Pelodiscus sinensis: one gene and its partners. The protein of the gene in region 2 purifies or fractionates together with the protein of the main gene of each other region. This does not show direct contact. Links are inferred from orthologs where the notes say so. Each region holds a gene or a part of one and is shown on either strand. Other genes may lie near its edges.

What was found.
Region 1: the proteins of RBBP7 (region 2) and SIN3A purify together in Homo sapiens (affinity purification with mass spectrometry; 8 studies listed by BioGRID and IntAct, counting the BioPlex papers as one, with this or other methods). This does not show direct contact. The link is inferred for Pelodiscus sinensis from reciprocal best matches to the Homo sapiens genes RBBP7 and SIN3A.
Region 3: the proteins of RBBP7 (region 2) and PWWP2A purify together in Homo sapiens (affinity purification with mass spectrometry; 3 studies listed by BioGRID and IntAct, with this or other methods). This does not show direct contact. The link is inferred for Pelodiscus sinensis from reciprocal best matches to the Homo sapiens genes RBBP7 and PWWP2A.

Annotation. Positions count from the first base shown.
Region 1 is NC_134724.1:34,506,775-34,516,473, reverse strand, and holds the start of SIN3A (paired amphipathic helix protein Sin3a), read right to left. Parts: upstream 5,103-9,699; 5' UTR 5,039-5,102; intron 1-5,038. UniProt on the Homo sapiens protein: Acts as a transcriptional repressor. Corepressor for REST. Interacts with MXI1 to repress MYC responsive genes and antagonize MYC oncogenic activities. Also interacts with MXD1-MAX heterodimers to repress transcription by tethering SIN3A to DNA.
Region 2 is NC_134711.1:210,748,695-210,758,393, reverse strand, and holds the start of RBBP7 (histone-binding protein RBBP7), read right to left. Parts: upstream 6,152-9,699; 5' UTR 5,861-6,151; coding exon 5,845-5,860; intron 5,657-5,844; coding exon 5,512-5,656; intron 4,778-5,511; coding exon 4,632-4,777; intron 917-4,631; coding exon 743-916; intron 1-742. UniProt on the Homo sapiens protein: Core histone-binding subunit that may target chromatin remodeling factors, histone acetyltransferases and histone deacetylases to their histone substrates in a manner that is regulated by nucleosomal DNA.
Region 3 is NC_134727.1:15,067,825-15,077,523, reverse strand, and holds the start of PWWP2A (PWWP domain-containing protein 2A), read right to left. Parts: upstream 6,036-9,699; 5' UTR 5,933-6,035; coding exon 5,154-5,932; intron 4,692-5,153; exon of another isoform or gene 4,622-4,691; intron 1-4,621. UniProt on the Homo sapiens protein: Chromatin-binding protein that acts as an adapter between distinct nucleosome components (H3K36me3 or H2A.Z) and chromatin-modifying complexes, contributing to the regulation of the levels of histone acetylation at actively transcribed genes.

The DNA of each region.
Region 1 (9,699 bases), on a different chromosome or scaffold from region 2:
GATGAAACCTCTTGGATACCACCCTGCAGGAAGCAAGTTGGTTTCCTTCTATCAACCCAATTTTAAACTTGCAGTAACTTCACAGAAGTTAACAAGTGAACCTGTACACCACAAAAGAAATTTAAACTTTTTTAAACAGCAGCAAAATGACTCGGTGGTCGCATTAAACCACAGCACCTTGGATTTGGAATTCAGCCTCGAACTGGAGGTCATCTATTGAGCACATTTTGGATCAGAGTTACTACTGCAGACGGGGAAGTTAGGTTTCTATTCCAAAATAAAGTCCAGGTATGTGTTACTCACATGGAAGAAAAAAAAAAAAAAAAGCTGCCACAGGATTAAACAGTTATTTTTCCTCTAGTCTGAAGGTTTTTTTCCCCTCAGCAAGGAGGCATTAAGTTTGTCTCAAAGGACAGACAGGCCAGTAAATAAACAAAAACAAAAGTTACATGTGCATTTATTTGCATAAATTACTATGAACTTACATGACCTGATTGCTAAATAAAGTCTGCAATCACGGTTAGCCACAATGATGATTGCTTTATTAATTCAGCAATGGAGTTTTTGTGTATTTCCATCACTGATGACTAGTGGATCAATGACCAACTGCCCTAGAAGCTTTTCTAAGATAGCAACATGTACAATTCTCATCCTCAGTAGGTACTTACTACAAAAGTAAGTGACACACTGTATCCAGTACAAGCTCAATGCTTCCAAGGGACAGGAGAATAATCAAAATAATCCCTAACAGTGTATGTCACAATGAATTCCTGGCATTCAAAAACTGTCACCATGCAGACAACAAATGAAAGATACCTTCTGGTAATACTCTAATGAAACTGTATTCTTATTGCTTCCTGCCTGCCAAAGGCCAATACCATTACACACATTTTCTGTTCCAAACCTTAAAACTGACCAGAATCCTTATTATTTGGAAGTATATTTTGTACCTCAGAGACAGTCAAGAACACACCCAGTGACCTTAACATCTCCCTGACTAGAAGAGCCTACTGCAATAGACATGGGACAGCCAAGGCAAAGAAACACCGTCTTAAGCACATGGGTGTTATTTTTAAGATTTGGTTCTATATCTCTGTTGTGTGTTGCTCTAGCTAAACTCTTTCTCCTGGTGTAAAAAGTAACAATGCCTGGGTCACTTTGAGAGTATCAGAGAGGTAGCAGTGTTAGTCTGAATCTGCAAAAGTGAGGAGGAGTCATGTGGCACCTTATAGTCTAACAGATTTACTGGAGCATAAGCTTTCGTGGGCAAAGACCCACTTCCTCAGATGCATGTAGTGGAAATTCAAGAGTGTCTTTCACCTTCCACTTATAACCCTGCTAATTATATAGTACTGAGTAGCAAGATTTTGCCTGTCGCTGCAGTTTCAAAACAGTGACTTTCTTTTTCAGATTTCCATTCAAATAAAAAGGTGAACAGATTACCCATGGCCCAGTGATCTTAGAAATCTTCACATGCCAGCACCCCTTACTCACAGGCTGTCTTAGTGCATATACACACACACACACACATAAAGTGAGAGCTATTGTTAAACCCTCTGTGGCTTCTTAGACACGCCTGCTTCCAGCTAGCTTCCAGCACCTTTGGAGTAGAAGTGTATGCTTTTGCTTTAAAATATCTTCCAACACGACTGGACTTGTAGTTCTGAATTCAGAGAGAAAGACTTCAACAAGACTCCCTTCTAAAGAGCAGCCCCTGCCCATGGGAAAGGCTTTACAATGAGTCTGTCTGAATGTAGTACAAGCAGCGAGGAAGGGAACCGATTTCTCTGCATTAGACTGTCTCATTCGGACTCTGAAAACCGGGGTGAACTCCCTATCCCCTTTTCCGCGTGTTAACTCTGCCGCTGAAAGCGGTTAGGGCTACTACTCCCACGGTAAAGCAAAGCACGACATCCCCTGGGTCAAACAGGGCTTAGAGGAAAACCCACGTGCTGCGCATCCTATCCACATGTTGCAGGGCAAAAGTACACCGTAGTAAAGACAAACACCACGCACGCAGAGCTCCCTCTGTCTGTACTCCTCGCTGACTACATAGTACAGGATTTGTAGCTAACCAGAGGGTAGATACATTGTACGATCCACAGCAAAAGTGCTTTACGGCCACTTTAACCCATAGTCGGCTTGTGACGGGCTAATCTATCAAGGATCTGAAAGGAATCGCAGCAGGGGAGGAGCTGGTACGCGCTCAGGACACCAGTACTGGGGGAGGCCACCGACACCTTAACAAAATGTTTGGAGAAAAGTTTCCCTTAAGTCTTTCCCATACAAAGAGTGGAGCGGGGAGGGGCGGTAGAACCAAGCATTGGACCACAACTCTACCTTCCGGCTAGATCCCAGAGAAGGGGCAAAGAAGCAACTATGCTTCCTCGAGGCAGTCCAAACATTCTGGCACCAAACTGGACTTGGAAGGAGCGAAAAGAAATTGGGAAAAGGTGGGGGAGGGGGCTCGATTCATGCTGCTGCTTTTTTCCCCCCTCAATTGTCCACCTCGGGGGCGCACTGGGCAGAGCATGGGGCGGAGTGCGGGGCATAGACGCATAAGCGGGGATCTCTAGTATTTGAGATACTGTGCCAGGTAGATTCCTTACAGTCTCCGAGTTAAAAAACTCCGGAGTGAGCCCAGTCTGGACTTCTCCCGCTCAAGAAAAACGTGAAGCATGGGGCAAGGAAACAGGGCCGCCAAGTGTTTTTGCTACCAAGCTTTAAGAGCAGAGAAGGAAGCTGGGATGACTCTCCCGCCCCCCCAGGAAGCTGGCCTGGGATAGCGTGCAGGGAGAGAGCTCCCTCCGAAAATATCCTAAACAGTCACCGCTGCCCTTTGCTGTGGGGAGGAGGGATTTGATTAGGAAAGAGGCATCCTAGCAGGTGGCCCAACCCCCAGCAGGAGAGCTTGTCGGGGGATGGGGGAAGGAATGCCTTTCCCTTTGCCGGGGAGCTCATCAACTGACTGATCTGCGGGAGAATCCTTTTGTCCCTAAGCCCTGCCCCGCATTAACTGCGCAGCTTCACTTCCGGGATGGCTGCGCCCCACGTGGGGCGGATCTATTACACGTGGGGGGAGGACGGGGGAGACACCGGACCTGCCTTCTCCCCCTCCCCCATTCTCCCTCCCTTTCGGAGACAGAAAGGAGGTGGGTCGATGTTTTCGTTTCTACCAATCAGCTCCAAGGAGAGGAAAACATCCCTCCTCCCTCGCCCCGCCGGAATTAGGGAGCCCTTTGCCATTTGGGGTAGGAGGGGAGGGGAACACCAGCCTGAAAAACAGCCAGGACTTCAGCTGGGCGGAGCGATTTAGGAATCCTAGCCAATAAGGAAGAAGGGATGGCTCTAGTTCTCCAATAGGAGAAGGGCTCATCCCGCCCAGTGACTGTACGGAGGGGGAGGCAGTGCGTGTGCTGCGTATTCACTCTAACAGCTCCCCTGCAGTGGCTCGGTAGGGAACGCCGCTTGCATAGCTGAAGGAGCAAATAGCAAAGGAGAGGGAAAGCGGCTCAGGCTGGCAGGACGCGGAAGTGGATTCCCGCATTTGGGCTGGAGAGGCAGAGTCCCCTCCTTTTCCTCCCCAAATCCACGCCTTGTAAACTGTAACGCTAACCCTTCCCTTTCCAGCCAGCTGCTTCCGCCCCGCACAAGCCAGTCTTGCTGGCGGCCGGCGCGCGGCCTCACTCACTTGGGTAGCACGAGGAAAGCCCTTTCCTCCCTTGAACCGCGAGTCCACCATGGAGAGGGCCTGTCCGTCGCGGTAGTTAATTCCAGGCAGATTACTCCACACCCTAAACCTCCTTCCCTGTCTCCTGCAGCTGATGATCGCCCTATCTGCAGCGTTTCCTTTCCTCGGGTCAGAGCCGGACCAATTCCCCCCCCCCCCCCCCCCCATTCCCGACCTTCCCAGCTCTTTTGCTGCCTGAAACTACTCTGGGCCACCGTGCACGAGAGCAGCAAGGGCCAGCCGACTGCGAGAGAAAAGGGGATAGCCCTACCCCGAGGCTGTCCATCTTTCCCTCCCACCGGCAGAGGAGGCGGGGTGGAAAGATGCAACTCCATGTTTGCAAAGGGAATCAGGCTCAATCCGCCGAGGGATGAGAGCAGGAAGGCTACTGCTCCGGCTTGGGGCGCAAAGTGGGTTCGGGGCACAGGAACTAGCGAGCGTTCGGCAACAGAACATTAGCGGGTTCGGCGGTGGAACGTTCACCCCCCGCCTGGCTACTTTGCGTTCGGCAACGGAACGCCACGGCAGCTGCGAGAGGCTCCGCTCGGACCAGCGGGGCTTCAGCTACGCTCGTTTTAGCGTGATTTTAAAAATAACAATCACGCAGCTGCCAGTTCAGAGAGAGGGAAGCTGGAGCTGCAACCCGCGCCCCCCTGCAGGCGGCTGCCTCTTGGCAGATCCATTCACCCGCCCCCGCCCCAACAAGTTTCACGTAGAGAAGCACAAATCTACGGGTGCCGATTCCGCCCTCCCTGCGAGTAAGACATCCGGCCTTGGGATTTGTAAACTAGATCCACGCTCTGGCAGCGCCTGCAAAACCACGCACCGAGCTGAGCTGCAAAAGTCACCCTTCAATCTACTCCTCAAACTCCTAAACCTCCTCGCGGGACCCCGACCCGCAGCGCAGCTTTGTTTATGCCAAGCAAAATAAGGGGCGGGGGAACCGAGCTGTCCTTGCTCCTCCTCCTTCTTCCCCCGAACTGCATGGAACCCAGCGCGTTGTTAAACAAACACCAGCAGCACGCACACCACCCGGCCAAACGCCTGCTCTTCTCGGATCTCCGGACAGAGACGAGGGCAAAAGGCAAAGCTAAACCCAGGGGGAAACGGCTTTTAATTTCTCCTCTCTTCCTCAACGGATCCGCCAGCTCAGTCCCTCGCCCACCCTGATTCGCAACAGCTCCTCCTACCGCCCCCTTTCTCCCCTCGGGTTCTGGCCTGCTTTGGGCCGGGAGGTCTTAAATCCTCACCTCAACCCTCAAAATGCCCAATATTTTTGCGACTAAATTGAAAGCAGCTGTTACATACCCTCAAAGCCCAGGCGAGGAGTCCTGAATGGATGGGAACGCCCCCCACGCGAGATTGGCCTTTCGCTCAAACGCGTCACTTCGATCCCGCCTATCAGGGGCGGGAAAGCTGGAGCCAAACCTGCAACCTAGGTCACGCCCTCTCCCCAAAACACGCAGGGCTTTGTGCAAAAGCGGAGCTCGGTGCCCGGTCGCCGCTCAGGTCCGTGGGACATGCGCCTGCACGTCGGGGAGCGAAGTTAGCGCTCGCAGCCGCTTCGCTTTCATGTCTCGCTGCACTTGAAGCACTTTCGGAGCCTACCTGTTACCGTGCTAGGAGCACTTTGGAAAGGCAAAGTCCTAGGGCCAAGGGAGCGGTGCGGTCGTGCCGTGATTCCCGCCTTGGCAGCCCGGCTGCAGGCAGCGCCGCGAGTGAGTCTTTTCTGATACACTGTGCCTTGTCCTAGCAGCTTCCACCCAAGCATTAACTCCTGTAACTCCATTATCCTACTTGTCTACTGTCTTCACCCTGCTCTCTTAGGACAGCATGCAAACACGCAAGGCTGACCCTTGCAACAGGCCTTGGGGTGAGAAGTAGATATATTACCCTCATAGGGAAACTGAGGCACGGAGCATAAATGATTTGCCTGAGAGCTGTGGCAGACTGGGGAGCTCTGGTCTCCCAAATCTCAATCCTCTACTTTACACTGCTATACCAACCCATGCAGGACAAGACTCTCACAAAGAGCACAGGAACCTGTTTTGGAAGAGCAGTGGGAAAGGCTTAGTGAAAAGGTGAGCGTCAGGAAGGAGCGTTCTCTTCTCCACAACTGTTGTATACAAATGCATAGGACTTATTATTATTTGTATTATTGTAGCACCTAGTAGTCATGGACCAGGACCCTGTTGTGCTAAGCGCTGTACAAACCCAGAACGAAAAGACAGGTCCCAGCCCAAACAGCTTGTTGTCTTATCTATAATCTATATACAAGACAAATATACTGATGGCTTCAGGAAGATGGGGGAAGAACAGGAAAACAATGAGCCATGACTGGTCCTGAACACCTGTAGACAGTAACAACTAATCCTATGGCACCTTAAAGACTAAGGCTATGTCTACACGGGCATGAATTTACGGAAATGCTTAAAACGGAACAGTTTTCCGTTATAAGTATTTCCGGAAAAAGCGCGTCTACATTGGCAGGATGCTTTTCCGGAAAAGCACTTTTTCCGGAAAAGTGTCCGTGGCCAATCTAGACGCGCTTTTCCGCAAAAAAGCCCTGATCGTCATTTTTGCGATCAGGGCTTTTTTGCGGAAAACACTACTGTGCTGTCTACACTGGCCCTTTTCCAGAACAGTTTTCTGGAAAAAGGGCTTTTGCCCGAACGGGAGCAGCATAGTATTTCCGGAAAAGCGGCTGATTTCTTACAGTAGATCGTCAGTGCTTTTCCGGAAATTCAAGGGGCCAGTATAGACAACTGGCAAGTTATTCCGGAAAAGCGGCTGATTTTCCAGAATAAGTGGCCAGTGTAGACACAGCCTAACAGATTTATTTGGGCAGCTTTTGTGGTTAAAAAACACTTTGTCAGATGCAAGAATGTGTGTCAATGGCTGGAATCCTACGGTGAATTTTGCAAGATTGGGGCCAAAGTTTGTATCCAATAACTGCAGACATGTTCCTTTTAGATTTGCTTTGTTCATTCGTTACTTAGACTGTAAGCAACTGGGGGCAGAGACACCTATGCAGTTGAACTGGTAAACAGCAGGTTTACTCAACTAGGAAGGCTCCTAAGAGAGATTAAAGTACATTTCCAGGGCTCTAAGCAATGGATCAGTGATCTGCCCAGGATGTATCAACAGGTAATAAAACTAAAACTTGGTTTTCTGCACCTGTAACTCGAGTGTAGATCATAAAATCATAGAATACTAGGACTGGAAGGGACCTCGACAGGTCATGGAGTCCAGTCCCCTGCCCTCATGACAGGACCAAATACTATCTAGACCATCCCTTATAGACATTTATCTAACCTACTCTTAAATGTCTCTAGAGATGGAGATTCCACAACCTCCCTGAGCAATTTATTCCAGTGTTTGACTACCCTGACAGTTAGGAATTTTTTCCTAAAATCCAACCTAAATCTCCCTTGCTGCAGTTTAAGCCCATTGCTTCTTGTTCTATCCTCAGAGGCCAAGATGAACAAGTTTTCTCTCTCCCTCCTTATGACACCCTTTTAGATACCTGAAAACTGCTATCATGTCCCCCCTCAATCTTCTCTTTTCTAAACTAAACAAACCCAATTCTTTCAGCCTTCCTTCATAGGTCATGTTCTCTAGACCTTCCTTCTTCTCTAAAATCATTCTTGTTGCTCTTCTCTGGACCCTCTCCAATTTCTCCACATCCTTCTTGAAATGCGGTGCCCAGAACTGAACACAATACTCCAAAGCTATGTCTACATTGGCGGCTTCTTGCACAAGGCTTCTTGTGCAAGAAGTCTTGTGCAAGAAAACGTCCACATTGCCCATGTGCAAGCTGTGCTTTTGCGCAAGAGTTCCCATGGCAGTGTAGATGCTCTCTTGTGCAAGAAAGCTCTGATGGCCATTTTAGCCATAGGGCTTTCTTGCACAAGAAATCCCTGCTGAGCATCCACACTGCCCTCTTGCACAAGAGCTCCTGCGCAAAAGGGCTTACACCTGATAAAAAAGAGCGTAATTCTTGCACAAGGAGCCCTCTCTTACCACGCCGTACTGTAAATTTCCTTGCGCAAGAGCGGGCGGGCAGTGTGGACGCTCTGCAGATTCTTGTGCAATAACAGCCGTACTTGCGCAAGAAGCCGCGACTATAGACATAGCCCAACTGAGGCCTAGCTAGCGCAGAGTAGAGCGGAAGAATGACTTCTCGTGTCTTGCTCACAACACTCCTTTTAATGCATCCAAGAATCATGTTTGCTTTTTTTGCAACAGCATCACACTGCTGACTCATATTCAGCTTGTGGTCCACTATAACCCCTAGATCCCTTTCTGCCGTACTCCTTCCTAGACAGTCGCTTCCCATTCTGTAGGGCTACGTCTACACTGGCCCCAAATTCCAGAAAAGGGATGCAAAGCAGGTAAGTCAGAATAGGGAAATCCGCGGGGGATTTAAATATCCCCCGCGGATTTAAATAAACATGTCCGCCGCTTTTTTTCCGGCTTGGGGAAAAGCCGGAAAAAAGCATCTAGACTGGCGCGATCCTCCGGAATAAAGCCCTTTTCCGGAGGATCTCTTATTCCTACTTCAAAGTAGGAATAAGAGATCCTCCGGAAAAGGGCTTTATTCTGGAGGATCGGGCCAGTCTAGACGCTTTTTTCCGGCTTTTCCCTAAGCTGGAAAAAAAGCGGCAGACATCTTTATTTAAATCCCGCGGGGTATATTTAAATCCCCCGCAGATTTCCCTATTCTGAAGTTTAAAATTAGCATGCCCCTTTTGGAAAAGGGGCCAGTGTAGACGTAGCCTATGTGTGAAACTGATTGTTCCTTCCTAAGTGGAGCACTTTGCATCAGGTACATTAGCGGTAGAAAATAATCACATCCCCAGACTGGTCAGTGTTTGGTTCAAGTTTGCATATACATTATTGGCTCCACTAGTATATACAAATAGGTAGCTGTGATTTAAGTGTACATGTAAAGATAGCTCATGTATGGCATGATCCCGTACAGTGCTGAAGACCTGTACACCACATTTACTTCAGTGGGAATTAGAGTGATTGGTACATCAAGGAGGTTGTTTAGCCTGGTGGTATCTGTAAACCAGTTGACAGGTGTGGGTTAACATCTGCTAATGTGAGTCTCACCTTAGCTAGTCTCTGGTTCATTTTCTATACTTTTTGTTCTTCCTTGTTTTTAAAATGAGGTAACAAAAGGGAATCTCTCTCAGCACAATATGCTAATTTGAAACACAACCAGGAACTTCTGACTTCTGAAGCCCAGGTTCTGACACAAGGAATGTGTCACTAGACTCTCTGCCTCAGTTTCTCTGTCTGTAACACTGGACAATAATTCTTACTGCTTCACAAGGTGTAGAGAGCGGTAATGAATTAGCAACTAAATTGTTTTGAAGATAAGAAGCACAATATGTGTGCTAATGAATTACAGCTGTGTGTATCAATAGCCAGAATTCTGCAGTGAATTTTGCAAAGGTAGACCACATGGAGTTGGAAAGCTCAGGGCCACAATTTGTATCCAGTAGCTGCAGACATTTTCATCTCCTTCTCGATTTGCATTATTCAGTCATTACTTAGATGTGTAAGCAACTGGGGCAGAGACCATCTTTTAATTTTGTGTTTATATAGTGCTTAGCATGAAGGGTCCTGGCCCTAGAATAGGGCTCCTGAGAACCAAGTATAATAACAATAATTAATACTAGGATACGTAATGAAGACTTATCACTCTTGGAAGCTGCCTCTCAAGATTGCATGTTCAAATAGTCACTAAAATAAACATTACAAATGACTTTCTGCAAGCAACTGCAGCTCAGAAGAGTTCCATTCAATCATAGAGCACTAGAACTGGAAGGGACCTCGAGAGAGCATCAAATCCAGTTCCCTGCCTCACGGCAGGACCAAGCACCATCTAGATCAGCCTTGATAGATGTCTATCTAACCTGCTCTTAAATATCTCCAGAGATGGAGATTCCACAACCTCC
Region 2 (9,699 bases):
GGGAATGAGGGGTTTAGAATACAGGTTGTCCCAGGGAGCGAGCATTGCCCCATCCCTGTCTCATTGCAGCAGCCCGGGGCCAGGTGAGAAGCATCTCTCCATGGTTGCTGCAGCTCCAGCGGGCACATCCAGGGGAAGAGATGCATGTCCCCTGGCTGGAACAGGTCCAAATTTGTCTGCCCCCTACGCTTCTTATTCAGAGTGAAGAATGGAAAAAACTGTGCAGTTTCCCCTCACTCCCTGATGAAGGGAAACAGCCAGCAATGTTCCCATACGACTCAGGAAATAGGGGCTTCACACACAGCCTCTGCACAACCAAAACCTTTACCTTGCTTTAAATTATGATAAGAGGTAACAATACAGGGCATCCCTGCTATAAGTCACCCCGGTATACATCTTTTCCAAGTTAAATCATTGACACTTGTAGGAACTGATGCGTTTTAAGTCCTCCCATTCCCCGATCTTAAGTCGCACAAAAAAACCCAACCCCAATTTGCTCAAATGGAAGTCAGCCACGGCAAAAAAATTCCCTGCTTTAAGTTGTTCAGCTATAAGTCCAAGTTTTTTTGGAATGTATCTTGGACTTATATCAGGATGGCCTACATACCAAATTTGGTGGCCCTAGCTCTTACAGTATAGGAAGAGTTCTTGAACAAAACAGATGGACGATAAGACAGACTCGTGTGCTCAGACACACAAACTCTCTCAAATAAAATATATAAGTTCAAGTAGTTTGACTCACCTGGTTTAGATGGATGTTTGGTGTAATCAAACACTAGCACATCAGAGGAAGGAGTTTTTGTAGCTATGATGCAGGGGTTCTGGGGCATGTAGCGAGCACGATTTACTTCACCTTCATGGTTAATTTTAATTTCAGTTTCAATTTTACCGGTTACAGAGCCAAAGCCGCCAAATTCTAGATTTGTTTTACATATAAAAATGTTTTTGGTTAAAATTATATCATCTATTTCATGTGCGATAAGCCAGCATTCTCTGGCTTTTCATAATGGCAAGTTGTTTAATGTAGTAACAATGGGGGCGGTGCCCCCTGCTCACCACGCTCGCCAACCTCCCTCTCTCGGGGGATAGGCAACCCCTGACTCTCACCCCCGACCCTCTCCGGCACACCAGCCCCATTCCTTGCTCCTCCCCCCACTCCACCCCACCACAGCCAGGAAAAGCTGAGGCTGCAGTGCACCAGCCCCGGCTCTCCATGTGGCCACCTCAGAAGTACGAGCTAGCAGTGGGTGGAGCTTGGCTTCAGGCAGAAGGAGCGGGGCTGGGCTTTACCCACCTATGCCTACCCCCCCCACCCCAGCGGACACTGATGTGATGACATCACTCTGTCATCCCACAGGAAAATATTTTTTATACAGACACACAAGTCACCAGGATGATTAATTACTTTACATTCCTTTAAATACAATCTTAAAAGTTATCATCTTATCTTGAAAAAAAGAGAAGTATTAAACTGAACAGATCATCACAGTAAGTAGTGGTTGACACCTTAAAAGGATAAATCTCCTGATCAAATTAGTCTATCAGATTGGTTTAGTGCAATGGTCTCCAACCTTTTTACACCAAGATAACTTTTGAAATGACAGAACAAGCCAAGATCTACCAACCCACCCCTACCTTGAAGCCCCACCCCCTCTATTCTCCTCCTCTCCATCACTTGCTATCCCCAACCCTTACACTGCTGCTTTTTCCCCCCAATTCTTCTGTAGGAAGAAGTTTTTCCAACATTTGGACTGTCTAGACTTGATCAAATGTCAGAAAAACCCCTTCTTTTGGAAGACCTTGTGGAAAGAGGAATGAATATAGGGGTGACTGAAAGATCATATTTGTTCTTCCACTAAAAGAAGAGGAAGAACAAATGCATCCCAGGATGCAGAAGAGTTTTTCTGGGATATCTCCTGAATCCTGAAAAACTCCTGCAGTCTAGCCGTACCCTCGCTGGGCTGAGACAGGATGTGTAGGCTCCGGGGTGGAAATGAGGGATTTGGAAATGAGGGATTTGGAAAGGGGTGAGAGGTGCAAGCTCTGGGAGAAAATGGATAAGGGAACGCTGGCTCGGGGAGGGGACTCCAGGCCGGACAGTGTTGGGGTCAGATGTAGGGTTAGGGTTCTAAGTAAGCCACAGACTTCTGGATGTGAGGGTTCAGAAATTTGGGTTGGGATATGTGAGGGGCTCAGGGCAGGGGGTTCCAGTGTATGATAGGCTCAGATGTAGGGTCTGGGGGAAAGGGGAGTGCAGGAGTGTCGTGATGCTGTGGCCAGATGGGGGCTTGGCCCCAATTGGGGGTTTGTTGGCCAGGCTTCATTTTCAAATAAAATACGACATCAAACACAAAAAGTTTCTGCATTGTCTTTATTTCTGAGAAGGGCAGGGAACCTGTTTTGAGTCAGGGGTCACTGACCCATAGAAAAGTCAGTTGGGGCCACACAAGTGAGATGCCAAAAAACCCTCCTCCACCCCCCCCCCCCCCCAAGCTTCACTAATGTGGCCCCAACTGTGTTGGTGGGAGCAGGGGACATAGTACTGGGGAAGGGTTTGGCTGCTCTGCGGGAAGGGGGTTTGGCCCTGGAGCAGGTGCCCGTGGGGGTTTGGCTGTGCTGCGGGAGGCACGCGCCGGCCCTGGAGGAGGCACGCGCTGGCTTCCCGAGGGGAAGGGGGGAGAATCCTGGGAGGAGGTGGGTGCAGGGGATTCTCTGCTCCCACTGTTCTCTCTCCCCCAATCTCCAGCCTCAGAAACCTGTCCCCACTGGCACTCTGTCCCCTTTCCGGTCCCCAGCCGCAGAACTCTGTCCCCTACCAAAGCACCCACTGGCACCTGCTCCAGGGCCAAACCCCCTTCCCGCAGAGCAGCCAAACCCCCACGGGTGCCTACCCTGGGGCCAAACTCCACTCCCGTGGCACAGGGAAACCACTGCGCTCAACTCACCCCTCCTGCGGCACAGGGAAGCCGCCGTACTCCTCATCCGAGGCAGACGCCCCCTTCCGCAGCACGCCCAGCACACCACAGAGCTATGGGAGGGGAGCAGCCAGCGCACTTCCAGAACCCCTGTAAGTGGCGTGAAGCTGCAGACTGGACTTCCGTCCACCCCGTGAGAAGCCAGCACTACGCTGGAGGTAGGTAGTGGGGCTTCTCGGAGGTGGGGGGAAAATGAGGCCTGGAGGAGCCCAAACACCTCATGATCGTCTGGTCGAGGCCTTGCGATTGACTAGTCGATCGCGATCGACAGGTTGGTGATCACAGCTTTAGTGTCACAACTGAAAAACTTAGTCAAGTCAATACCTATACGAAACAGGAAACTTCTTGCAGGAAGTTCTCCAATACTGACTTGACTTAATGCACGTTATCGGGTTTCAGATATTTTTTTTAAAAGGGTCATTCTAGACTAAAATATATTAAGGCTCTAGAACTACACTTTTAAACCACTGAGTCTCAACCAGGGGTACATGTACCCATAGGGATATTAGAGGTTTTCCAGGGTATACATCAACTCATCCAGATACTTGCCTAGTTACATATACTCTGACACTTCTGTAATTTTTAAATCTATTTTTGAAGCAAGTAGGTCTAAGTGAAGTGAAATTTGGGGTGTGGAAGACAAATTAGACTCCTGAAATGAGTATACAGGCAGTTCCCGGGTTACGTACAAGATAGGGACTATAGGTTTGTTCTTAAGTTGAATTTGTATGTAAGTTGGAACTGGCTCCAGATTCAGCTGCTGCCACAAACTGACCAGGGGCTGACTACAGGAAGCCGGAGGCAGAGTTGCTCTGCCCCCAGCTTCCTGGAATCAGCCTGATCAGTTTCAACAGCTGCTGAATCTGGAGCCTGGGACAGAACAGCTGGGGCGCTGCCCGGTAGGTTCCCACAGGACCAACCTGGCAGCACCCCAGCTGCTCTACCTGAGGCGTCCCGCAACAAAAGCCTGGTCTGCTGGGAGGGGGGAGGGGGGCGCACTAGCTACACCCCCTCCTCCCCCAGCAGAGCAGGTAGACGCGAGCAAAGCCGCCCAGGCAGCGGGACCCTCGCCGCCTGGGCGGCTTTGCTCCTGTCCCCCTGATCTGCTGGGGGGGGGGGTCCAGCAAAGCCGCTGGACTCCCCCAGCAGACCAGGAACACCCGAGCAAAGCCGCCGTCTGGGAGGCTTTGCTCGTTTGCCCGGGAGCAAAGCCGCCCAGGCAGCGGGACCCCCGCCGCCTGGGCAGCTTTGCTCCCGGGCAAACGAGCAAAGCCGCTCAGGCGGCAGCTTTGCTCGGGTGTCCCTGGTCTGCTGGGGGGGGGGGGTCCAGCACCTTTGCTGGACCCCCCCAGCAGACCAGGGAGACCGGGAGAAGCTTTTCTCGCCCCAGAGGACATGGGTGGGCTCTGGGGCGAGAAAAGCCCCGTTCGTAAGTGCGGATCCGACGTAAGTCGAATCCGCGTAAGTCGGGGACTGCCTGTAGTGGTCTGGAAAGCTTGAGAGGCACTGCAATATACTAAAAACAACTTTAATATACAAATAGACTCTTAAGAAAAAATGTTTTTAAGGTTACAAGTTAGAACACCATTAAACAGAATAGGCACTGTTTTACATTACTGCTAAAAGAACACAATCAACAATTCCTGCAATACTCACCTCCCTTCTCACTATCATAGTGAGAAGCATCAAACTGAGCATCATCATTAGGAATCTGGACTCTTGCAACAACCAAATGATTCTGCTCATCAGAGGTATGTGTTCCCAATACTAGCCAATGAAGGGCATAATCCTTTCCTTCAGGCCTGTTCAATAAAACAAACGGTCTTACAAAAGTAGAACAGTTATTCCATATTAGTAAATATTTTGAGAGATAAAGTTCTTCTGTAACATCCCAATTTCTATGGGAGATTACAGATGAACTGGGAAAAACACTTTTCCCAGACACATTAGGCACAGCCACATACATGTTTACCAGCTGAACCCCAGGTATTCTTGACATCAGTAAATTGGACAAGTAAGTTTTTAACAAAACTTTGTTTATGCTTGAACAGTGTAAATACAACAGTGTGTACACATTAAGTAGAGGCATTTTGACATCAGCACCGACTTAAAAATCCGTATTAATGAAGTTAAAGGCATTTAACATTAAATAGGCATATCAAACCTGGATAATCTAACAGGCAGCTTTTCTCTCTACAGAGTGCAGCAAGAGTAGTCCAGATACCGAAGGTATCACTGACTGGTGAAATATAGCTGAAGTAAAATACAGGACAATGTAGCACTTTAAAGACTAACAAGATGGTTTATTAAATAATGAGCTTTCGTGGGCCAGACCCACTTCATCTAATAAACCATCTTGTTAGTCTTTAAAGTGCTACATAGTCCTGGTGAAATATAGGTATCACTGACTGGTTGCAACCCTTTACTGCTAGGATTATCCTTCCCAGGACGTCTCAGTGGGCGCTGCCAACCCTGCGGGGCAGGCGGCTTGAAGCGGGGCCCTGGAGGGAGGGTTGGAAGGAGGAGTCCCACCCACCTGGTGACATCAGGCAGCCACTGCACCGTGAGGCTGGGCCACTCGAGCGCGTGGGTCATCACCAGGTCATACAGGAACGGGGTGTTCTTCTTCCAGATTTTGTACTCCTCGTTGATGACGCGCTCCTCCACCGTGTCCTCGAACACTGCGCGGGCAGAGAGGCGCGCTAGGCGGGGGCTCCTGGGAGCCGAAGTGTGTGATGGGGGGGGGAGAAATACCCACCCCAATGGACCGCCCCCCCCCCACCGACAACCGTCTGGGCCTAAGAGAGCCGGTTGAGGTGCGCGCGCGCGTCGTCCCCCCCTCTCCCGCGTCCCCCCTCGCGGCTCTTACTCTCTTTATTCGCCATTTTGTGACTGGGGCTCCCTCCCGCGCTGCGCGCCCCTGCCCCGGGCGGAGTTGGCGCCGCCGTCTCCGCCGCGGTTCAAAAGCGGCCGCTCGCGCGCCGGCCTGCAGGGCTCTAGGCGGCCTCGTTGGCTTGGAGTCCCAGACTCCCAACCGCCCATGCGCGTGCGCAGCGCCCCGGCTGCTCTTCCTCCGGGTCAGCCCCGCGACGGCCCCGAGGCAGTGGCCAATGAGAGGCGGCGCTGACGCCAAAGCGCGCGCGCCACATGCGCGTGCAACAAGGAAGCCAGAGTTCAACGTTCCCGCCCACCGGCCACCGCCCCTTCCGGGGCTCACTCAGGCAGCGAGGCGGAGAAGCGCATGCGTAGCAGGAGAGTGCCCAACAACCTGAGGGCGGGGCAAAGGAGGGCCTGGCAAGCCCCTCTCCGGTTTGATGCTGCCAAACAAACAGCGTAGAGAATTTTGGCCCCGCCCCATCAGCAGTGACGTCAACGCTGCCCTAGAGCCTGCCGCTGTGACGCCCACGCGGTTCCCGCCCCCAGCACGATTGTCTCAGACTCCTCAGATGCATTGAAAAGAGTCAATGGGGGGCTGTGTTGATTGGCTGGTTTCTGAAGCGGCAGGGTTGGCTCTTAAAGATGTTCTTCCCAGCCCCCAGGGAGAGAACGTCTTCTAGGGAGCCTCCCTTGCTGGCAGGTGGGGTTCTGACTAGGGCGTGCAGCTTCCTGATCAAGAGCTGACAAAGATGGTAGTGCCATAACCCAGTCTGCCCAGACCAACACTCAGAGCACGTCTACACTGGAGCTAAAACTGGAATATAGTTGATGTCAAAGTAGCTTAACTCTGCTTTTGATGTTGTTTACACTGCAGGAAGTCAAAGGGAGAAGTCGGAGAAGCCTGTTATTTTGAAATTATTTTGAAATAACAGCCTTGGGCTGTGTCTACAGTGGCGCGATCTTGCGCAAAAACGGCCACTCTTGCGCAAAAACTTGCTGCCTGTCTACATTAGCCTCGTGTTCTTGCGCAAGTAAAATGACGTCCTAATGTCTAAAATCAGGGCTTCTTGCATGAGAACTCTGACGCTCCTGCTCAGGAATAAGCCCTCTTGCGCAAGAGCTCTTCCAGAAAAGGCCAGTATAGACAGGCAACATGAATTTCTTGCGCAAGAAAGCCCTATGGTTAAAATGGCCATCAGTGCTTTCTTGCGCTAGAGAGCATCTACACTAGCATGGATGCTCTTGCGCAAAAGCACATGCTCTTGCGCAAAAGTACATGCCAGTATAGACACTCTCTTCTGGAAGAGTTTTTGCAGAAGAACTCTTCCACAAAAGAGTTTTTGCGTAAGGACACGCCAGTGTAGACATAGCCTTGCTGTTTAGACGTGCACTCTGCTATTTTGAAATAAGCGTGCAGAGTGGACATAACTACGTCTACACTGCAGACTTTTTGTGCATGAACAGCTGTTCTTGCGCAAAAACTTGCTGGGTGTCTACACTGCAAGTGCGTTCTTGCACATGTTACCCAGGCTAGTGATTCAAAATGGAGTCTACTGATCATTATCACCTCAGCAGTTTCTTCCCGCCAAAATCACACGGAGGAATGCTAACCTATGCACCCCCCTCTAATGCGATGTGTGCGCAGCCAGGTTATGCACCTTGCACCCTTTTTCCTATGCACACCGCCCTATTCTACTGCACCCCACTCGCTAACCCAGTTTCCCGCCTTACTGCCGTCACCCCTAAGAAGCGCCATCCGCACGTGGTCTGGTCAAGGCCGCCCAGGTCTAACACTAACTGTGCCCTCCTGAGGTGTGAGAGAAGTCTCCTCTCTAAGGACTTTGGGACTGGTATCATTGGATTATGGGACTTTACTATCCATTGTTTATGTACCCGCGGAGCCTCACCAAGCCGAGGGACTGGTGCCAAGGAATCCGGAGTGTGTCAGCCATATGGAGGTGAGGATACCCCACTTCAAGGGATCTGCCTGCTGTCCTTCCTTTAAATTAGCCACGAGGTCGCAGACGTCCATTGCCGCCTTCAATTCTTGTTGTAAAGTATATTCCTTTTGTATACGGGATCTTTTCTATTCTCTTTTCTTCCAGGTTAGGGTGGGTCACTTACTGTGGTTCTTGTTGTTGATGCGTGTTGCTATCTTTCTAAAATATAGGGTTTGGCCCTAAATTCGGGTCTGACCTGATTTCTGACTATCTTCCCAAGGGTGATAAATACGTGTTCCAGGTTGAATCTGGCTTCTGTGGGGGAGGCAGCATTAGGCTTTAATTAATTGCCCACAGCCATTGTTTACCTCAGCCTTCCGAGTAACAGTTTGGCAACCGCGGCAGAACCTGGTGTGGGCTGGTTTAGTCCTCTGGGCCCACCCCCACTTATGGGGGTGGAGCATAGATGCACGCATCAACAACAGATAGCTGTATACGGTCCAGTGACTCGGGGAGGGAATCGGGGCAGGCCGGGGCCTACTCCCGTTTTACCACTTTGCGGGTACATTTCCCGGAGACCCTATCCGTTCTCCCGGTTTACTCTTCCAAGGTGATCGTGTGGCTAAGCAGGGTGAGGATGCTCCTCTGCGACCCATGTCTTGTAATGTGTATCATTCTTGTAACCTAAACTGTCAATCATATTAAGAAACCATTAGCCTCTAGTCACCTGGCATGTAGTAATACCTGACTGTTTGAATTTGAAAACTTATGAATAGGGAGTTGGTTAATGAAATTAAAATAAAGGATGCCAAAATTGACAAATTACGCACACAGCGAGATGCATTAAATATTCAAATTGAGGAGGTATTAAAGAAATGTAATGAATTAGAAACTAACCTTGCGGATTGGTCGGGTTATTAAACTAACTCTTTGGGAAGTGTCTTTAAACACTTTTGACCTTCCTTATTCTGTTCGATAGACAGGTAACAGAATTGTGGCAACCGCGGCAGGACCCTCTCAGAGTGTCAGTTCTTAGTTTTTTTATTTAAGTGTACATACCTCAAATGAACATCAAGTGTGTGGCTTGTGGGTTTTGGTTTGTTAGGATTTAGGCAGATAGAGGGTAACAAGGAGGGGATAGGTATCCTTAAGCTGTGTTACCTTGAGATAAGGCTTAGCTTGTCCTACTTCTGAGCCAAGCTAAGCAATTCAAGGAGTAGTCTTTTGGGCAGTTTAACCTGAATTTAAAAGGTTTAAAACTGAGGGTCCCTTGTTTTGGGTCTCCTTGAGGTGGCTTGCTGCTGCTAAGACAAAGTTACTCACCTCATTTTAAAACCCCTTTAGAGGCGGTAATCCTCTGGGTTCAGGACGTTTCATCAATGGAATAAACGTTCCACCACTTTAAGATTTTAAACCCCTTTAGAGGTTTTTCTTAGAATGTTCAGGTGTGCTGGCGATCTGCCATTTTAAGTTTGGGGTAGCCATTTTGGGTTGGAACGTTCCTCCATTCAGGTGTTCCACCATTTGCATAAGATTAATTTGCATAAGATTAATTTGCATAAAATTAATTTGCATTTTGACCGGTCCAAGTACATTTGCATAAAGTCAATTTGCATTTTGGAATGTTCACGGGGTTCAGAGCGTTGCCTAGTGTGGAATGTTTACCGGCGGGTTGCTTAGCAACTGCTGCTTCACTGCGTGGAGCGCCCCAAAGGTGCTGCGCAGTCTGCTGCGTACAGTTTATTTATTTAATAGCTTAAGGAGAATTTCTGCAGAGCAGAGGCCTGATCAGCCTACTGTCTCTGATAACACAGAAGTCCCCAGGTTTCTTCCAGACTTATAAAGGTAAGGTAGGACCCTTACAAGTTTAAGGTATGGCGTCCAAGAAGGCACCCCGAATCTTTGGA
Region 3 (9,699 bases), on a different chromosome or scaffold from region 2:
AGTGGCCTGCAGCATTTTCTGATACTGACAGCACTGTCCTAAGGCAATAATAGGCCACCAAACCTAAGAATCTAGATAAACTAATTCAGTAAGACAAAAATAGCACAGAAGTTAAGTTTTATCTTAAAAAAATCTTAATTGTTAAAGTGCTGAAACATTCTAAGTACATACTACATTTCTAAAGTTAACTTATTACAGGCAGTCCCCGGGTTACTTACGAACGGGGCTTTTCTCACCCTGGAGGACACCGGCGGCAGGATCGCCCAGACGCGCCGCAGTCCTGCCGCCCGCGTCCACCAGGGCGAGAAAAGCTACTCCGTGTCTCCCTGGTCTGCTGGGGGGGGGGGGGGGGGGGGCAGCAGACCAGGGAGACGCAGAGAACCCGGGCGGCGGGACCGCGGTGCGTCTCGGTCCCGCCGCCCACATCTCCCTGGTCTGCTGGGGGGAGGGGGGAGAGGGGGCGCAGCTAGTGCGCCCCCCCAGCAGACTAGGCTTTTCTCGGGACGCCTGTGGTAGAGCAGCTGGGGCGCTGCCGGTTAGTCCCGCAGCGCCGCTCTCAGCGCTACTGGACCAACCAGGCAGCACCCCAGCTGCTCTGCCCCAGGTGTCCTGATTCAGCCGCTGCTAGTCAGTTTCAGCAGCAGCTGACTTGGGGACACCTGGGGTTCTTAAGTTGAATCTGTATGTAAGTAGGAACTGGCGTCCAGATTCAGCCTGTTGAAACTGATCAGCGGCTGATTCCAGGAAGCCTGGGGCAGAGCAACTCTGCCTCGGGCTTCCTGTAGTCAGCCGCTGGTCAGTTTCAGCAGCGGCTGAATCTGGACGCCAGTTCCGACTTACATACAGATTCAACTTAAGAACAAACCTACAGTCCCTATCTTGTACGTAACCTGGGGACTGCCTGTACTTCATTCTTCTTTTCATGATCTGAATCCAGAACTCATTTGCCAATTCACATACATTCGTAACACACTAGCAAGACATTGCAGAGTATTTACGTAAAGAAGTCCAATTCTCATCCCTTTGGTTTTAGCAAGTTTACCTCCCATATCCACCCAAAGAGGGACCATCCATTGTACACAGACAGAGGGACAGACACAGAACATGCATCATTCCCTCATCAGCCCATAAGTAGTAATACAACACTAAGCTTTCCACCAAAAACTCTGGATGAATACTTTCTCTTACCTTTAACAAAAGTTTTGGGGCAATTTGGAAGCATAAATGCATTGAAGCTGCACTACTAAAGAATCAAGCGGCAGCTTCTCATCCATATGGATCCACAGTGCTTCTATGTATTTGGCTTTGTGTCTCAAAGGGATATCAGAAATCAAAAAGGTGGCCGCTCCTCCATGGTGAGAATTTTTATAGCCAGAAGTCACGGACATGTACATCTGAGGGAATGCACTCAGTCAAAAGTAAAATGCAGGACAATGTAGCACTTTAAAGACTAACAAGATGGTTTATTAGATGATGAGCTTTCGTGGGCCAGACCCACTTCCTCAGATCAAATAGTGGAAGAAAGTAGTCACAACCATATATACCAAAGTCCTTTGGTATATATGGTTGTGACTACTTTCTTCCACTATTTGATCTGAGGAAGTGGGTCTGGCCCACGAAAGCTCATCATCTAATAAACCATCTTGTTAGTCTTTAAAGTGCTACATTGTCCTGCATTTTGCTTCAACTACCCCAGACTAACACGGCTACATTTCTATCACTAGTCAAAAGTAAGTGATTAAGATGCAAGTATTTTTTGTTTTTGCACACAAGATCCAGAGTAATGTAATGGCAAGTGACTGAACACAGTGAGAACCAGCAAATCTAAGGGTCTGAACTCCAGATCCACAAAAGAATATAATGAGGATTGGGCCAAAAGAAAACTGATGAGGGTCAACAAGGACAAGTGTCAAGTCCTGCACTTGGGATGGAAAAATCCCAAGCATAGTTACAGGTTGGGGTAAGTAGCAGTTCTGCAGAAAAAGACCTGGGGATTACAGCAGATGAGAAGCTGGATAGAAGTCAACAGGGTGCCCTGTAGCCAAGAAAGTTAATGGCATATTAGGTTGCATTAGGAGCATTGCCAGCGGATCCAGAGAAGTGATTATTCCCTTTTATTCGGCTCTGGTGAGGCCACATCTGGAGTATTGTGTCTGGTTCTGGGCCTCCCACCATAGAAAGGATGTGGACGCATTGGAGAGGGACCAGCAGAGGGCAACCAAAATGATTAGGGGGCTGAAGCACATGACCTATGAGGAGAGACTGAGGGATTTGGGTTTGTTTAGTCTGCTAAAGAGAAGAGTGAGGGGGAATTTGATAGCAGCCTTCAACTTCCTGAAGGGAGGTTCCAAAGAGGATGCAGAAAGGCTGTTCACAGTAGTGATGGATGGCAGAAGAAGGAGCAATGCTCTCAAGTTACAGAGGCCTAGGTTGGACATTAGTAAAAACTATTTCACTAGGAGAGTGGTAAAGTACTGGAATGGGTTACCCAGGGAGGTGGTGGAATCTCCATCCCTAGAGGTTTTTAAGTCTCGGCTTGACAAAGCCCTGGCTGGGTTGATTTAGTTGGGATTGGTCCTGCCTTGGGCAGAGGGCTGGACTTGACAACCTTCTGAGGTCTTGTCCAGCTTGATTCTATGAAAAAGCTAGGGAACTGTATTCCCTGCTTGCTACTCACCAAACTCCCTCTCAGATAGGGAGGGCCTGGGGCTGAGGCTACCCAAGCCCTGACCCTCCCATCCCAGGCCGCTGGGGAGGGAACAGGGCCGAGCCACCCTGGCCCCTGCCCACTCCTGGCCGGCCAGTCCTGGCTCTTACCCACTGCCCCCCAGCCACCAGGGACTCAGCCCTGCACCCAGCCCGCCCCAGCTCTTTGCCTTGCCTGCCCCAGCTCTGCCTCCCCCATCCCCTATGCCATCGGGCAAGGCAGAGACTGTACCAGTCCCGGTCTTTCTGGCCCCCCCCCCCCCCAGGGCAGCCAGGAGCGGGCCCGGGCCCAGGCTACACCAGTCCCAGTCTATCTACCCCTGCCTGGGCAGCCAGGAGAGGGGCTGGGCACAGGCCGCACCAGAAACGGGGGGGGGGGGGGGGGGAAGTCGGGCTCAGGCTGCGGCAGCTATGACTCCCTCCAGCCATACCCTGGCCACTGGGATGGGGAGGGCAGACAGCCCCAACACCCAGCCTGTAGGTGAGCACGGGGAGGGGCAGGCTGGAAGTGGGTGGGGCCTGGCTCCTGTGGACACAGTGAGGGGATGCTGACTGAGTCGTCCCACAGGAAATGTTTCTTTTATATACACAGAGCTTAAATAGGTGAGTAACTGAATGGTCCATCACCACTTCGTGAATTTTCTAGTGTGAAATACTGAAGTGTGTGCACTTAAACTATCAGTCTGAAATCAATTTAATAAAGGCTTTTCAAACCATAGCTGGTTAAGTTCAGAGTTGTATGATTAGCTTCCATGGTCCTTTAAGATGTTTCCAACAGGTTCACAGAATGTAGAGGACATAAACCTCTTTAAACATCAACCCCATAAAACAAGCAAACTGAGCCCAGAGAAAGCATGCACAAAGTCATTTGCCCCATTTCTAAAGGAAGCGCTGAGAACAGAGACTGCAAAGGTAAATAATCTCTGAAAACTGATGCCTGTTCTCTGTCATGACCACTATTTTGAATTTCCAAGTAAGAACTTTTGCAATTCTGTTTTCCAAGGTTTATGTTGTTTACTTTTTGTGCTTCATATAGCACAGGTAGTGAGAATGATTGGGCTATTTTCACTTTGCTCTGTACTTGCTTTATGTTGAAGTATCAAACTACAGACATCAAAGAAAGGAGATATTTATATCATTACAAACTTTTTTTTTTAAACAATTTTTACTCCGCTCAAAGTTTCCTGAAATGCTGGATTTGACAAAACTGTCTCTCTGGGTCCAGACTGACTAGGAGGACATTGGTTCCTTGAGGAGAAAGTTTGGTTCACAGGAAGACTAACCCTCTCCCCAGACACAAGGAGCAATCATATCAGAAAACCTACCAGGGCTCCAATAACCTTCAATTTGAAAGCTTCAGAGGGGTAGCCAAGTTAGTTTGTAACAGGAAACACTTAAAAAATAACAAATAGTCTAGTAGCCCCTTAAAGACTAACAAAATATGTAGACTGTATCATAAGCTTTCATGGGCAAAACCCACTTCTACCTACATGTTTTGTTTGTCTAGTAGCACCTTAAAGACCATTTTTTGTTTAAGTTTCTTCAATTTGAAGACTGCTGAAATCCAAACAGTAATACAAAGTGACTTGACAAATGCAAGTTGTAAATCAGAGATGAGCACCCAAAATAAAACTGTGGATCTGAACATACCTATTTGGGGAGGATCAGGTCAATTCTCTATAGCTCAAACTCATGACTGTTACTAACAGGGAAGTATTAGGAAGGCCCAGATGAATCCTGAGTTAGAAAGAAATGGCCATGTGCTCTTCCTGCTGATCTCATTTTCTACTTCCCACAAGCAATAACTCTTTTGTAAAAAAAGAAAAACAAAACGAGGGGAGGAGACGGAGGTTGTTGGTCAGGGACCCGTTTTGTGCTGTATTTATTACTTAAAAGGGACAGGCCTTTCCCTTACCTTTAACCCAGTAGTAGGCCAGAGGACCAGAAAGCGTGTGTGGCAGCAGCAGAGGCTACATCCCCATCACAGCTGTCGATCGGAGAAGGTGCTGTTAGGTATTGTCTCAAAGCAACAAGGCTGCTGGGGCACCGTTACTACTCACCATAGCCAGGCCTCAGGCTTAGCCTGCTGCTGTAAGGGCTGGGTTTTTCAGACAGGTAGTAATTAATAAGGGGCAGTTTCTCTTCCCTCTCACGACTAGACAGAGCTTAAGGGGTAACATGGCCCCAAGAACCCTGCCTCTTAACTCCACGAAGGATGGAGACTAGTGACTTCTGCACAGAGCCTGGCTCCCCCAATTCCTTCTCTCAAAGGGGAGGGAAGGAGGCGGCTGAGAGGGACCTGCGGAGTCCAGGCCCGCTATCACCCTTTGCGAAAGTCCCCGAGGGCCCCGGGCCGGGGATCTCCCCTTAGGGCGGATCTCCCCCGGCCGGGAGCAGCGGTTTTCCCAGCCGGGCGGGGCTCGGGCAGGCTCCCAGCGACATCTCACCTTTTGGAGAGGTCCATCAGGACCCCGGAGAAGAGCTTCTCTCCAAGCCGGAACGACACCACCAGCGCGTCCTCGATGATGTGGTCAAGGGTGACCAGCACCTCCGAGCCAGGCAGAAGCGGAGGCTCCGCCGCCCCGTCGGCCGGGGACACCGGGGAGCCGGCGGCCGGGGGCTCCGGCTTTACAGCTGCAGCACCAGCAGCATCCGGCTCCTCCTCCTCCGGCCGGCACGGCTCCTCCCCGGGCTCCGGCTCCACGGGGCCCTCAGCAGCCGGCGGGCAGGGCTGCGGCTTCTCCTCGGGAAGTTCAGGGTGCCCAGCAGGCGGCGGGCAGGGCTGCGGCGCGTCCTCGGGCTCCGGGCTGAGCGCTCCTCTGGGCTCGGCCTGGGGCGAACCCAGCTCCGCGTCCTCCGGGTCTGTCCTCTCACGCTGGGGCTCCTGAGTCCTCGCCGGGCTTCGGGCGAGCTCTACGGGCGGAGGCGGCTCCTCGGCCTCCCCCAGAGTGAGCTTTGCCCTGTCGGCCTCGTCCCCATCGGGCACGGCCGACTCCACAGCCTCGCTGACAGCGGGGAGGGGGTCTGCGCCGGCCTCGCTGCCTGGGATGGGCTCCAGCTCGGGCTCGGCTTCGCCCGCTCCCGCGTCACCCGGCACCGCTGCAGTCTCGGCCGCCTCCGCAGCCATGGCCGCCATTTTCTCTGCTGCTTCGCGGCCGCCTCCCTCCAGCAGCGGGATCGATAACCGCGGCCTTCTCCGCCCGCCTGGGAGGGAGAGCCCGCCCATTGAGTGTATCACTCACACCTCATTGGTGGCTGTGGCTCGAATCTCACATCCTACTGGAGAGCAGGAAAGTCCATCGAGCCGAAAGGAAACTTCTCATTGGCTAGTTGCGACTCCGTCCATTCAGGGGTCGGGAAGAGGAAGAAAGGGCTGAGTTTAATAAAGATCAAAGGAGCCTGCTGCTGGAGGCAGTTGTGCTTTCCTATTGGCGCAGGGACGCTTCCCGTCGGCCTTAAGCCCTCTGAGAGGCTGCTAATTGGTGCAGAGTTACGTCCGTCACACTGAGAGGCGCCTTAGATCAGGAGTTCAGTATAAAGGGAGGTTTCTGAGTGAGCGGCAGGAAAGGGCGGGGATGGGAGGCGGGCGTTAAGGTTAGAGAGGTGTGAGATTAGTTTGCTTGCATGAGAGGGAGTTAGCTCAAGGTAATTCAAAACTGGGAGCTTATTGGGATGGAGACTCTCCATTTCCGTACAGAACCTAGCACCTTGGCGTTCTGATTCTGACTCAGAGGTTGCCCCAGCACAAATAATAATGATCTTGCCAACTCTTGTTCCAAGGGGCCCACAATGGGAGGATGAGCAAGATTCATTGCAAAAGGGACCAGAAATGGAGAGAAATAGGAACAAAGAAGGAAAAAATATTGACACAAAAACAGGTGGCCAAATCAGTAAAGAACTATAACATTTTCTAAAAGGTTATATTAAACACAAAACAAAAATGAAGAAAAGAAAGGAGAAAAAAAGCAAATGATAAATATACACTTTGGCTCAATCAACACTAGCCTCTTCTGCCCCAAAACTATGAAAACTGCTAGTTTTAGTCATTCTTCCCCAGATTCAAACTTGGAATGCTGTAAATCAGACACTACTGTATAGTTTGGTAAGTTGACATGGATGTGAAGGGATGAAGTGGAGGAGACAATTGGAAGGTTAAAAGACAAAAGTAGATATTGGAAAGAAGAAAGCTCAGAGAAGAGATGCTTAGCACGAATGTAATTTGTAAAACTTAACACACATCCCTCATGCAATTACAGGGAATAAACCATTGGCCGAGAGTGAAATACGTGGTAAAGTAATTACCTGAATCTAATGTTTTAAGGATTTTAATGTATAATAAATTTATAGTTATCTTTTTGAAGGGTTCTAGAGGGGGTTATAGCGTCATTGAAATGTAGCCACCTCTCTGTTAAAAGGCAGCAATTAGGCAACTGACATAAAGCAATGACAGTGGGATAGTGATTTTTTGGCAAGGATACTGGAGCAAATCCCTCTGCAGTTTCAAAGCCTACTTGTATACACTGCCTTTAATCTTTCCATACTGGGAAAATTGAGTTTCATGCAATTATACTAGTATGTAATGCAAGTAATAACTATAATGATCTTTCTTATAAAACCAAATAATCCAAAAGCTGGGGTTTGCAGCCTTCCATCATAGCAAAAGGAGCTGGAGAGGTCTGTGTATAAGCAGAATCTGATCCTCCACATGCTGCCAAACAATACATGCTACCACATTCATATGCTCCATTGTAGTCCCAAGAACCATGGGCCTCAATCACAAATGCAAGAAAGGCATAAAATACCATTCCAAGTTGATAATGTTTTACGTTCTCTTTGTACTGGTGTAACTGACTGTATAAGCTGTAGGGCAACAGTAAATTAGGTCCTAGTGTTAGCAGCACCAGCCTCACATAGTTTGTAAAGGGTTTATGTGTACGTAGATACATTTCTAGAGACAGAAAATGCCTTAGAAATGTAGATCCTGAGTTAAAAGAAATTTTAAAATATAAAATAGTTGAATTGCTCTGTTCTATACAATATACCATGTTCCCAGGTAATTTAATGTTTTAAGGGATGTGTGGTTGAAATACAATGTGTATTTTGTGGGAAGGTTAGTACTAGAGAGTAGGATATTGAATTGCAGTGTTTATTCTCCATCCTGCATGGATCTCTGTTAGGGAGAAACAGCAGATGGCTGTATGATTTGTGGTTAAAAACAAAACCAACCCAATTTTCCAGAACTACCCAACGTTAATATTAATGCCTAAACCATCTCTAAACATTTTGTTGGACCATATTTTTAAAGGCATGTATACTGTTTCCTAAAGCCATCATGCTTTCAAAGAAGAGCAACCATTTAGGAGCCCTCAGGGCCGAATATGTCTGTTGCTAGTATTCTACAGAATAATACCTTACTAATACCTTAACTTCAAAACTTGCCCCAGTGCAATGATTTCAATTTCACTTCAGATGTAAGATCTCAGTTTTGTATTTCAGAATTGTTTTGTTTATTCTGGTATGTGTGCTGTGAACAAAATAGTTCTGTCCCCAAAAGGTTTTCAATGGCTATGAATGATTCAGAAATGTTTTTCATTTCAGAGGGATGCAGGAGCAGAGGGTTGGTCATAGAAGGAGAATTAGGTCTCTGCTCTTTTTTTATGTTATGTCAGCTTCCCAGAATTCTGACAACAGATGAAACTTAAAAAAAAAAAAAAAAAGTCCTGCAGCACCTTAGAGACTAACAAAACATGTAGATGGTATCATGATCTTTCCTGGGCACAACCCACTTCAGATGAGAGACTAGAAAACTGAGATTCCCTTCCCTAAAATCAGGTACTTATTGCCCTACTCAATTAAGCAATAGTAGAAGGCAAGCTATTAGTTCCCAGTGAAAGCAGCACAAAAATAAGTTCCAGAAGCCTGTGTTAGGAATTGTGAAACATACTCAGGAAGTAGGGCAATGGCGAAGTTGTAAAACAGCACTGCTGCAGATGCAGCCAAAACTGTCATGGTTTTTATCTCAAAATACCATCGTTAGTATGGATACACTGTTCCATTAGTGCTTAAACCAGTGATGTTCCATCACTTCAGTTAGCCACAGTTCATTTCTGTAGTGTAGCCAGGGCCTAGTAGAGCAGAATGCCAATAATTTCTGAGCCTATAAGAGTCACCAACCAATACAAAGAGGCTACTCAGCCATTGAACTAATGGGACATTGAGATCCAGTAGCTCAGCTCAGCAGGGTCTTTGTTATGTTAAATTCATTCTTCCAAAGGATGGGAGTAACATGGAAGAATTCCTCTTCAAAAATTGCAATGTTGCTTTGTGAAATCACCCTGCTTTGCCAGAAGTGTTACTTATGGCAGATATAGCATCTATTAAAATGCTAACATTGTCATCATTTATACTTAATAGAGTCTCCAGCAGCCCTGAGAATGAATGTAAAAGGATTGTTTACAGTTTCATTTACATTTCAGTAGCCAAGTGTTTGTGAAATGATGTAAACAAATATGTATGCCGCTCTGATCTACTGCCAGATGCAGAAATACAGTAGCATAAGCTATTCCTGTATTTGGAGGTATGTTATGCCAAAGGCAAGTGATAAAGAGACTCATTTATTATGTACAAACTTGCTTGTTTTACTGTGTTTGTCTCCTCAGGTGCACCATTGACAATCATCTTCCTGTTTCATCCTGCTCTTGCACTCTGTTATAAACGTAGTCTGTAAACCAGTGGTCTCCAAACTTTTTAAGCACAAGATCACTTTTTGAATTTAAGTACAATTCAAGATCTACCTCAAACTCAAATACCCTGGCCCCGCCTCCTCTGTGTCCCCTCTCTGAGGCCCTGCCCCTGCTCACTCCCTCCCTCTCCCATCCTCCCTCACTTTCATCAGACAGGGGCAGGGTGTTCGAGTGCAGGCTCTGGTCTTGGATTAAGGGTTTTGGAGTGAGAGAGGGGTTCTGGGCTGAGCTTGGGGCAGGCAGTTGGGGT